Macaca fascicularis: one gene and its partner. The protein of the gene in region 1 purifies or fractionates together with the protein of each later gene. This does not show direct contact. Links are inferred from orthologs where the notes say so. Each region holds a gene or a part of one and is shown in the gene's direction. Other genes may lie near its edges.

Region 1 (5,381 bases):
GCAGGCTGTGCATTCCTGAGAAGTCCAGTCAGAAGCTGGTGGGGGGTGAGGAGAGAGGCAGGGTAGGGGGGAGATACAAACATAGACCGAGAACAAATAAAATAAGTCCTTTTTCAGAATAGATAATAAAGTACAGAGGTTATTATTCCAAAAGAGGATATGAGAAGAAAACAAAAATGGGTTCCCAGAAATGTGGGTAAATCTGTCAGTAACAGAAACTAAGTGGTCGCTTCTGAGAACTTGGGATATAAGCAGTCTGGCTGCTATAACTAGATTGTACCAGCAGTTCCACAGACATGAACTGGGGGGTCAAATATGTATAGGCTGGACCACCCCCAGATTGTTTCCCCAGCATTGGTCCTCTGATGGCACCTCATCTGAGGTTTGAACAAACTCTAAACTCTTGCACTGTAGCAACTTTCAAGCTCCTTTTTTCTTTTCTTTTTTTTTTTTTTTTTTTTCTGAGACAGTCTTGCTGTCTCCCAGCCTGGAGTTCAATGGTGAGATTTCGGCCCACTACAACCTCCACCTTCTGGCTTCAAGTGATTCTCCATCCTCAGCCTCCTGAATATCTGGAACTACAGGCGCACACCACCAAGCCCAGCTAATTTTAGTATTTTTAGTAGAGACGGGGTTTCACCATGTTGGCCAGGCTGGTCTCAAACTCCTGACCTCAAGTGATCCCCCTGTCTTGGCCTCCCAAAGTGCTGGGATTACAGGTGTGAGCCACTTCACCCGGCCCCAAGCTTCTTTCAACAGCAGACACGAGTATAATAAATTAGTAAATTATCTAGGAAGTTAGAAGGTGGTGAGTGACTATGAAAAAAAAAAAAAAGAACAGTGGAACTTAGAGGGTCAGGAAGCAGGGGGAGTGAATATGGAGACTTCAAAATGGGGTGATCAGGAGGGTCAGAGCCATGGGGATATTTCAGGGGAGTGTTCTAGGCAGAAGGAATAGCTAGTACTTTTCTGGTCCTGAGGTGGGAGTGCGTGGAGGGACCAACGCCAGTGTGGCTGGAGTGAAGGAAGAGGCCAGAGAGGCAAGGGGAGGGTGGCACATTGGGAGCACCCTGTAGGCTTTGGTCAGGCTCTGGGCACCTTTGGGGCAATCAAGTAGACTTTTTTTTTTGAGGTGGAGTCTCACTCTGTTGCCCAAGCTGTAGTGCACTGGCGTGATCTCGGCTCACTGCAACCTCCGCCTCCCGGGTTCAAGTGATTCTCCTGCCTTGTCCTCCCGAGTAGCTGGGACTACAGGCGTACGCCACCATGCCCAGCTAATTTTTTTGTATTTTTAGTAGAGACGGGTTTCACCATGTTGACCAGGATGGTCTCAATCTCTTGACCTTGTGATCCGCCCGCCTCGGCCTCCCAAAATGCTGGGATTATAGGCATGAACCACCGCGCCCAGCCTCGAGTAGACTTTTTGCTCCAAGTGAGATGGGGAGACAATGTGGGGTTTGGAGCCAACAAGGAGTAACATACACAGTTCCCGAGTTCCATTTTCCCATGGGGACCCAGGTGTCATATCTGATTTTTTTTTTTCTTTTTTAGAGACAGTGTCACTCTATTGCACAGGCTTGTCTCCAACTCCTGGGCTCGAGAAATAATCCTGCCTCAGCCTCCCAAAGTGCTGGGATTACAGGCGTGAGCCACCGTGCCCGACTGGTGTCATATCTGATGCAGCTCTTAGCAACCACCTGCCCAGCCACCCTTCTGGCTTCTCCCTTTTCATACCTCAGTCCATTAGGGGACTCAGGGATGTTCGACTGGCCCCAAGTCCTCCCAAACAGATGCCAGGGAAGGCCTGAGTAGATCATTTGGACCTTTCCAAGTAGTCCACATGGAATCCTCCTGCTGTCTGCCTAATCCCTTTGGCTCCTAGACTTAATCCCACCCTGCCCCTTCCCCCTGAGCTTCTTAAGAGGGCAAAGGGGAAGGGTAGAAAGGCAGTGAGAACAGCTGGGACTCACCTGCTTTTGGCACAGTGTGATTTTTCTGTGCCCTGTCTGGTATTTTGTCTCTGCGCCTGTCCCTTTGAGCACACTGTGGGCTCAAACCCCACCCCAGGTTTGTGTGGACTTTCCTTTCTGCCCTTGTCATCTCCCCCAACCTTTCAAGGTGTCAGCGGCTAATCTTTCCCCTGTGTGTTGTGGGAGTCTCTTGGTTCCTCTGGGCCTTTCTATTCATCTCCCATCTCTTCCCAGGCCCTAGACCCCCTTTGCTATGGATAGGAGAGGAATGAGGGGAGTGGGAGGGAACAGGTGCCCAGGCTCCTGGGTTTCGCATAGGACAGCAAGGGGCTGTGGGTATGAAAACCATGGTTTTGGTTGAGACTGGCTCCCCAGCCAGTTCTTTCCCCACTGGCCAGTCTGCTGGGCTCCTCTGGGAAGTTTACTCTTTCCCCACTGGCCAGTCTGCTGGGCTCCTCTGGGAAGTTTACTCTATTGCCTCCAAGGTGCCCAAAGACTCGGTTCTGATCACAAGACTAATCGCCACGTATTTTAATTTCTTTTTACCCCTCTGCCTCCCACACTCGAAAGAGCAGGGACCTTGGTCTTATGTTATTCACTTCTGCCTCCCAAGCCCCTGCCAACATACAGGGCAAAGTCTGATGTTTTGAAATGATATGATCGAAGAGGGAAACTCTAGGATTGGAAAGCCAGTGTGTAAAGGAAAACTGGATCCCAAAGTGGATGGGAGAGAGTGAGGGGGGCGCCTAAGTCCAACCCCCACCCCCACCTTTCCCCCGCCCCACCTGCTCCCTTGCAGACTCCCCCCCGCCCCCCGCTTTCTCCCCCTCAACCCCCACGGGCCTCACCCCTGCTGACCTTGCCTCCTGCCCCCTTTTTCTCCCTCCTTCAGCTTAAGATCTCCTTCAGCGAGACAGCCCTGGAGACCACGTACCAATACCCCTCCGAGAGTTCGGTACTGGAGGAGCTGGGCCCGGAGCCTGAGGTCCCCAGTGCCCCCAACCCCCCAGCAGCCCAACCCGACGACGAAGAGGATGAGGAAGAGCTGCTGCTGCTGCAGCCAGAGCTCCAGGGCGGGCTGCGCACCAAGGCCCTGATTGTGGGTAAGCGGACGCTCCGCCGGCTCGAGAGCGCCCCCTGCTGTCAGAGCTGGCGCTGCGGTCCAGGAGAGAAGAGGAGGGAGGATTGCATGTAGGCGCTTGGAAGGGGCTTGGTGGTCCTCTGGTCCAACCTGCTCCTTCAATAGATGGGCAAACTGAGGTCCCGGGCAGTGAAGTACACATTGAGTCTTCAAGTTTCAAAACGAGAACTCTTCCTGAGTACCGTAATCTGGTCAAAACCACAGGGTGGGTCTACAGGCCTGAGTTGGAATTGCAGCTTGTCTCTTAATTGTGTGATCTCAAGGAAACCATCCGATATCTGGCTTTAGTTTATTATTTATGAAATGAAGTTAATAATAACTACCTCCTGTGGCTCATGCCTGTAATCCCAGCACTTCGGGAAGCCAAGACGGGTGGATCGCTTGAGCCCAGGAGTTCAAGACCACCCTGGGCAACATGGCAAAATCCTGTCTCTACAAAAAAATACAAAAATTATCCCGGTGTGGGCCAGGCACGGTGGCTCACGCCTGTAATCCCAGCACTTTGAGAGGCCGAGGCGGGCGGATCATGAAGTCAGGAGACTGAGACCATCCTGGCTAACACGGTGAAACTCCATCTCTACTAAAAATAAAAAAAAATTAGCCGGGCGTGGTGGTGGGCACCTGTAGTCCCAGCTACTTGGGAGGCTGAGGCAGGAGAATGGTGTGAACCTGGGAGGCGGAGCTTGCAGTGAGCCGAGATCACCCCACTGCACTCCAGCCTGGACAACAGAGCGAGACTCCATCTCTAAAAAAAATAAATAAATAAAAATAAAAGAATTAGCCAGGTGTGGCAGTGCACAGCTGTGGTTCCAGCTACTTGGGAGGCTGAGGTGGGAGGATCGTTTGACCTCAGAAGTTGGAGGCTGCAGTGAGCCGATATTGTACCACCCACTGCACTCCAGCCTGGGCAATAGAGGAAGACCCTGTCTCGAAAGAAACAAACAGGCCAGACAAGGTGGCTCACGCCTGTAATTCCAGCACTTTGGGAGGCTGAGGCAGGTGGATCACTCAAGGTCAGAAGTTCAAGACCGGCCTGGCCAACATAGTGAAAACCCATCTCTACTAAAAATACAAAAATTAGCTAGGCATGGAGGTGGACACCTGCAATCCCTGCTACTCGGGAGTCTGAGGCAGGAGAATCACTTGAAGCTGGGAAGCAGAGGTTGCAGTGAGCCGAAATGATGCCACTGCACTCCAGCCTGGGCTACAGAGTGAAATTCCGTCTCAAAAAAACAGAAACCAAAAACTACCTCCTAGAGTTGTAGAAAAGATTAAGTAATTTATTTTATTTAATTAATTAATTTATTTATTTATTTTGAGATAGCTCCCTCTGTCGCCCAGACTGGAGTGCAGTGGCACAATCTTGGCTCACTGCAACCTCTGCCTCCCAAGTTCAAGCGATTCTCATGCCTCAGTCTCTCAAGTAGCTGGGATTACAGATGTGTACCATCACACCTGGCTAGTTTTTATATTTTTAGTAGAGACAGGGTTCCCCCATGTTGGCCAGGCTGGTCTTGAACTCCTGACTTCAAGTGATCCTCCCGCCTCAGCCTCCTAAATTGCTCAGATTACAGGGGCTCCAGGCCAAGATTAAGTAGTTTTTGTGAAGCACCAAGAGCCACAGCTGGATATCAAATTACTTAATCTCTCCTGGAGTTATGGTGACGTTAAACAGTTATGAGGATGCTTGGCACAGAATCCGAGCTAAATGAGTGATGGATGTGGTTACTGATGGTAACGTGCTTTAGATGTGGAAGATATTATAGGACTTCCTGCATGCCAACTGCCCTTCAATTTGTGTGTGGGGGAAGGGTGGGCAGAAGGCAGAGGCTCTCACTCATTCTCTGTCATTATTGCCCCCTCTCCCACAGATGAGTCCTGCCGGCGGTGACCATCTTCAACATAGGGATATACCTCCTTCCTTCTTATAACTGAAGATCCTGGATCCCAGAAGATTCAGGGCAGCAGACCCTGATAATGAGCCTGGCAGGGAAGGGCAACAACCAACATCTTGTAACTTGCTTTCCCCACCCTGTTTCTGGGGGCAGAGCCAATTGCCCAATTTCTACCCTAATCCAAAGTCCCTGGTGTGGGTGGGGTTAAACGTGCTGGTACATCCTGGGTGATCTAAGAGTGAGCGCCAAGTGCTGAGAAGGAGCACAGAACTCCCTGGAGGGTGGAGATGGAGCACCTGCCCTCCATGGCAGGGTACACTCTCCCCACAGCCTTCCTCCCCACCATCCCGTGGGGACTCTTGGGATTTAAGCACT
Region 2 (5,972 bases), on another chromosome or scaffold:
TGTGGGCTCCTCCCACCCTCCCCATGGCCCCAGTGACTGAAGGCTTGAGTTCCTGTGCTGGGTGTGGAGGGCCCAGGCCTCTTAGACACAGAGGCCAGGCCACCTCCAATTCTTTTGTTTGTTTCTTTTGAGACAGAGTCTTGCTCTGTTGCCCAGGCTAGAGTGCAGTGGCACGGTCTCAGCTCACTGCAACCTCCACCTCCCAGATTCAAGTGATTCTCCTGCCTCAGTCTTCCAAGTAGCTGGAACTACAGACATGCACTACCATGCCCGGCTAATTTTTGTATTTTTAGTAGAGACAGGGTTTTGCCACATTGGCCAGGCTGGTCTCAAACTCCTGACCTCAGGTGATCTACCCACCTCTGCCTCCCAAAGTGCTGGGATTACAGGCATGAACCACCGCGCCTGGCCTTTGTGTTTGTTTCTTGAGGGTCATGCTCTGTCACCCAGGCTGGAGTGTAATGGCAGGATCTGGGCTCACTGCAACCCCCACCTCCTGGTCTCAAGAGATCCTCCTGCCTCAGCCTCCCTAGTAGCTGGGACTGCAGGCGTGCACCACCATGCCCAGCTAATTTTTGTATTTTTTTGTTGAGATGAGGTTTCGCCGTGTTGCCCAGGCTGGACGCAAGAGACCATCCCACCTCAGCCTCCCAAAGTGCTGGAATTACAGGCCTAAGCCGCCACAGCAGGCCCACCTCCAGTTCTGAGGTTACTGGCATGTAAAGCACCCAACTCAGGGTTCCAACAAGAATTAAGGTTAATTTATCGTCTGCTCCTTTGAGACAGAGTCTCACACTGTCACCTCGGCTAGGGGGTGCAATGGGCCTTGGCCCACTGCAACCTCCGCCTCCCAGGTTCAAGTGATTCTCCTGCCTCAGCCTCCCCAATAGCTGAGATTACAGGCGGCTGCCATCATGCCCAGCTAACTTTTTGTATTTTTAGAGAGATGGGGTTTCACCATGTTGGCCAGGCTGGTCTTGAACTCCTGACCTCAAACGATCCTCCCACCTCAGCCTCCCAAAGCGCTGGAATTACAGGCGTGAGCCACTGCACCCAGCCATGTCTGCTCATATAGTAATTCTTTTTACGTGCACACCCTGCAATATTACTGTGCTACTCAAAAGCTAATTATGGGGCCAGGCTTGTTGGCTCACGCCTGTAACCCCCCCAGGACTTTGGGAGGTCGAGGCCAGTGGATCACTTGAGGTTAGGAGTTCAAGACCAGCCGGGCCAATATGGCGAAACCCCACCTCTGCTAAACACACAAAAACCAGGCGCAGTGGCGCGCGCCTGCAATCCCAGCTACTCCAGAGGCTGAGGCAGGAGAACCCCTTGAACCTGGGAAGCGAATGTTGCAGTGAGCCAAAGTCGCGCCACTGCACTCCAGCTTAGGCGACAAAGCAAAACTCTGTCTCAAAAAAAATAAATAAATAAAAGCTAATTATGGGACTTGTAAGAAAATATTAATTTATCATGCCCCAAGGACCAAAGTGCGCTGGAAGTTCAGCCGTAGCTGTCTTTGAGTGTGGTCAGCCGCCTGGGGGCCACGGAGACCCACGAAAAAGGGGGTCGTACGTGAATGCGAGGTCCAGGTCTTGCACCAGTCTGTTCATATCTCTTGAGCCTCAGTTTCCTTTCCTGCACTTCGAGCAGTTAACCCTCAGTGCCTAGCAGCCGGTTATTAATATGTTCACAACACCCTCCACCCAGGGCAGGGGTGGGAACGGCTGTTCTGCTTTTGAAAGAGAAAAACAACTTCCACAGTTCTTCCGGCCCCACATCCTCTGAACCGGGCTGGGCGCCTCCTCTGGGGCGTAACCAGTTGGACGCGCCCCCGACAGACCCCGCCCCCAGCCCGCCGCCAAGGCCCCGCCCCCCGGGCCGCGGCGCTTCACGTCCAGCGGGGGCGCTAGAGCGCGGGGGACCGGGCGGGGCGGGCCCGGGAGGCCCGGAGGCGGGGCCGCGGGCCGGGGGCGGACTGGGGCGGGCGGAAGGAGAGCCAGGCCGGAAGGAGGCTGCCGGAGGGCGGGAGGCAGGAGCGGGCCCGGAGCTGCTGGGCTGGAGCGGCGGCGCCGCCATGTCCGATAGCGAGAAGCTCAACCTTGACTCGATCATCGGGCGCCTGCTAGAAGGTTGGTCGCGGCGGGGGAGGCCTGCGTCCGCCGCTCCCGGGCCCCCTGCCGGGCCCGGAAGTGGCGCGCGGGCGGGCCCCCGGGGCCAGCTTAGACTGGGCGGGGACGGGCCGCGAGGTTCGGTGGCCGCAGCCGCCCCCCCGCGGACGCGCCTGAGAGGTCCTGGGCCCGCTCCGACGCGCGGAGCAGCCCCCTCTCCCGGGCCGGGGGCGCACGGGTTGCCTGGGTTCTTGAGGCGAGGGAGAAACCCGGGAAGCCCGGTCCAGGAAGGGGTCCTGCGCTGTGAGGTGTTTGGGTGGCAGCCCCCTGCGCACGACAGTCGCCTCCCGAGGCGCTGAGGGTAGTTGGGGGCTTCCCTTGGGAGGCTTGAGGCCGAGGTCCCGGGAGGCTCAGCAGCAACAGCTGCCTGCGGGCAAGGAGCAGCCGAGGAGGCCTAGGCGCCCCCGGAGGTATCCATGGGGCCACCCGTGTCGCCCACCCTCCTCCTGTCAGGGTCCCGGGTCTTGACACCCCATTGCGCCCCCAGTGCAGGGCTCGCGGCCTGGCAAGAATGTACAGCTGACAGAGAACGAGATCCGCGGCCTGTGCCTGAAATCCCGGGAGATTTTCCTGAGCCAGCCCATTCTTCTGGAGCTGGAGGCACCCCTCAAGATCTGCGGTGAGCCCCCCGACCCAGGTCCCCTTGCTTTCCTGAAAGTGGCACTGGCCCCCACAGAGTTCCTGGAGTCCTCCTCCCTTGAGCCCAGTCCTGGTCCTGGGTTCAGGTCTAGACCCTGCATCTAGCTTACCCGATTCCCTGGGTCACAGGTGATATACACGGCCAGTACTATGACCTTCTGCGACTATTTGAGTATGGCGGTTTCCCTCCGGAGAGCAACTACCTCTTTCTGGGGGACTATGTGGACAGGGGCAAGCAGTCCTTGGAGACCATCTGCCTGCTGCTGGCCTATAAGATCAAGTACCCCGAGAACTTCTTCCTGCTCCGTGGGAACCACGAGTGCGCCAGCATCAACCGCATCTACGGTTTCTACGATGAGTGTGAGTGGTCTGAGCGTCTGGGGCTGCCCGGGTCCTGAACCACACTCCTTGTCATTCAGTGGGACCTTCACATTGGCCTGATATCTGACAGACACTTGCTAAGACTGTGCACTCCACGAAGGCAGGGCCCAGGTCCGTTCTTGTGCCTGCCCTGCCCCTCCTGGCATGGGGTCTGGGGAATGGTTGCTGACTGAAGGACTGTCCGTATTCTAGTGCTTTCCCCCAGGGCCCTGCCTGGTGACGTTCCCTCTACATTTGCTACTAAGCATTTAGGATGTTTGCAGATGAGCTCTGCTGTCCAGAAGCTGAGATAAACCAGACCTGTACTTGGCCCGGCTCGTGGGCCGGGGCGTGCAAGGAGTGCCAACCCTGAGGCTGGTCCAGATTGGAACTCAGTTTCCAGTGGACTCGGGTGCTTTAGAATTACTTCTGGTGGGAGGCTGAGGCGGGAAGATCACTTGGACTCAGAAGCTCCAAGTTACAGTGAGCTATGATCTTGCCAATGCACTCCAGCCTGGGTGACTGAACAAGACCCTGTTTCTTTACTTTTTTGAGACGGAGTTTCGCTCTTGTTGCCCAGGCTGGAGTGCAGTGGTGTGATCTCAGTTCACCACAACCTCCATCTCCCGGGTTCAAGCGATTCTCCTGCCTCAGCCTCCCGAGTAGCTGGGATTACAGGCATGCGACACCACGCCTGGCTAATTTTTTTGTATTTTAGTAGAGACAGGGTTTCTCCATGTTGGTCAGGCTGGTCTTGAACTTCTGACCTCAGGTGATCTGCCTGCTTCAGCCTCCCAAAGTGCTGGGATTACAGGTGTGAGCCACCATGCCCTGCCCAGATCCTGTTTGTTTAAATTACAAATTAAAATAAAAAGTAACTAGAATTACTCCTGGAAGGCTGACAGGCGGCAGGGGTGGGGGTGGTTTGCATTGGTGCCTGACTCTCTCCCATCTGCGGCTGAATAGCCCAGAGACCCCGGCTAAGGGTGGAGCAGGCAGACCCCTCACAGCTACCTCCCTCTGGGCAGGCAAGAGACGCTACAACATCAAACTGTGGAAAACGTTCACTGACTGCTTCAACTGCCTGCCCATTGCGGCCATAGTGGACGAAAAGATCTTTTGCTGCCACGGAGGTGAGCTCTCCTTAGTTGTCATCTGGGAAGTCACTCCTTTCAGGAAGTGTCTCCCATACCCCCCTGTGCTGGGCTGCACTCACTTCCTTGATGTGCATTCTACATGGGGCGGGCTTGTCTCCTTTCTCCCAGGAGCTCTGTGCTCCGGAGGCCAGGGGCGCCTTTGTGCCTGTTTGGGAACTTGAAAAAGCTGAGGGGAAGGGGATGGCTTCTGCCTGCCTGGGCACCCAGGAGACCAGTGGAGGGACCAGGAGGGTGGTGGAAAAGTGAGGCTCACTGGCCAAGGCTTCCTGGAGGAAGGATGTCCTTGTTTGAGGAAGTGACCTTCCTTCTGGCCCTCCAGGCCTCTCCCCGGACCTGCAGTCCATGGAGCAGATTCGGCGGATCATGCGGCCCACAGACGTGCCTGACCAGGGCCTGCTGTGTGACCTGCTCTGGTCTGACCCTGACAAGGACGTGCAGGGCTGGGGCGAGAACGACCGTGGCGTCTCTTTTACTTTTGGAGCCGAGGTGGTGGCCAAGTTCCTCCACAAGCACGACTTGGACCTCATCTGCCGAGCACACCAGGTGGGCTGGTGGCTCCCGTCTGTGGTGGGGGAAGGGGAGGGCCTTGCCTGCACTTGGGACTGACTGCTCCGATCCTCACCCAGGTGGTAGAAGATGGCTATGAGTTCTTTGCCAAGCGGCAGCTGGTGACACTTTTCTCAGCTCCCAACTACTGTGGCGAGTTTGACAATGCTGGCGCCATGATGAGCGTGGACGAGACCCTCATGTGCTCCTTCCAGGTGAGTGTGGGGAAGAAAGGAGCTACTAGGCCCCGTGGCTCAGCCCCATGAGCCTGACCAACCCTGTCTCTTTTAGATCCTCAAGCCCGCCGACAAGAACAAGGGGAAGTACGGGCAGTTCAGTGGCCTGAACCCTGGGGGCCGGCCCATCACCCCACCCCGCAATTCCGCCAAAGCCAAGAAATAGCCCCTGCACCCCGCGCCTGTGCCCCAGATGATGGATGGATTGTACAGAAATCATGCTGCCATGCTGGGGGGGGGTCACCCCGGCCCCTCAGGCCCACCTGTCACGGGGAACATGGAGCCTTGGTGTATTTTTCTTTTTTTTTTTTTTTAATGAATCAATAGCAGCGTCCAATCCCCCAGGGCTGCTTCCTGCCTGCATCAGCGGTGGCTGTGAGCAGGATCCTGGGGCTGAGGCTGCAGCTCAGGGCAACGGCAGACCAGGTCGTGGGTCTCCAGCCGTGCTTGGCCTCAGGGCTGGCAGCCGGATCCTGGGGCAACCCATCTGGTCTCTTGAATAAAGGTCAAAGCTGGATTCTCGCCATGGCCTCCGTCTCGCGTCTAAGACGCTGCCTGGCAGCTCCTCTGCGCAGAGCTACTTGGGAGGCTGGGCACCAGGCCCCAGCAAGGGCAACCCTAGCCACACACGCAGGTCCGAGGCTCTTAGAATTCCAGGTCGGCACCAAAGAGTATCAGGAAAGCAAGAAAAACTGTCAGCTCCACGGGCGTCCCAGATGCATGCCCAGGACTTCAGGAAGGAACAGGTCAGGTCATGATTGGCAGAGAAGCTGGATCATCAGGGGCCGGCAGCACCTGCTGTGATGTTTTCCTTAGGAAGGTGAGCCTGAGGGAGACAGGTTTCCAGCCTTGGCCAGCTGGAG

What was found. Proteins that work in one complex are often made in the same cells at the same time.
Region 2: the proteins of PPP1R18 (region 1) and PPP1CA purify together in Homo sapiens (affinity purification with mass spectrometry; 5 studies listed by BioGRID and IntAct, counting the BioPlex papers as one, with this or other methods). This does not show direct contact. The link is inferred for Macaca fascicularis from reciprocal best matches to the Homo sapiens genes PPP1R18 and PPP1CA.

The regions. Positions count from the first base shown.
Region 1 is NC_088378.1:141,974,246-141,979,626, forward strand, and holds part of PPP1R18 (phostensin), read left to right. Parts: intron 1-2,862; coding exon 2,863-3,073; intron 3,074-4,982; coding exon 4,983-5,002; 3' UTR 5,003-5,381.
Region 2 is NC_088388.1:6,973,899-6,979,870, forward strand, and holds PPP1CA (serine/threonine-protein phosphatase PP1-alpha catalytic subunit), read left to right. Parts: upstream 1-2,001; 5' UTR 2,002-2,077; coding exon 2,078-2,132; intron 2,133-2,658; coding exon 2,659-2,790; intron 2,791-2,939; coding exon 2,940-3,170; intron 3,171-4,198; coding exon 4,199-4,303; intron 4,304-4,646; coding exon 4,647-4,870; intron 4,871-4,953; coding exon 4,954-5,088; intron 5,089-5,164; coding exon 5,165-5,275; 3' UTR 5,276-5,631; downstream 5,632-5,972. UniProt on the Homo sapiens protein: Protein phosphatase that associates with over 200 regulatory proteins to form highly specific holoenzymes which dephosphorylate hundreds of biological targets.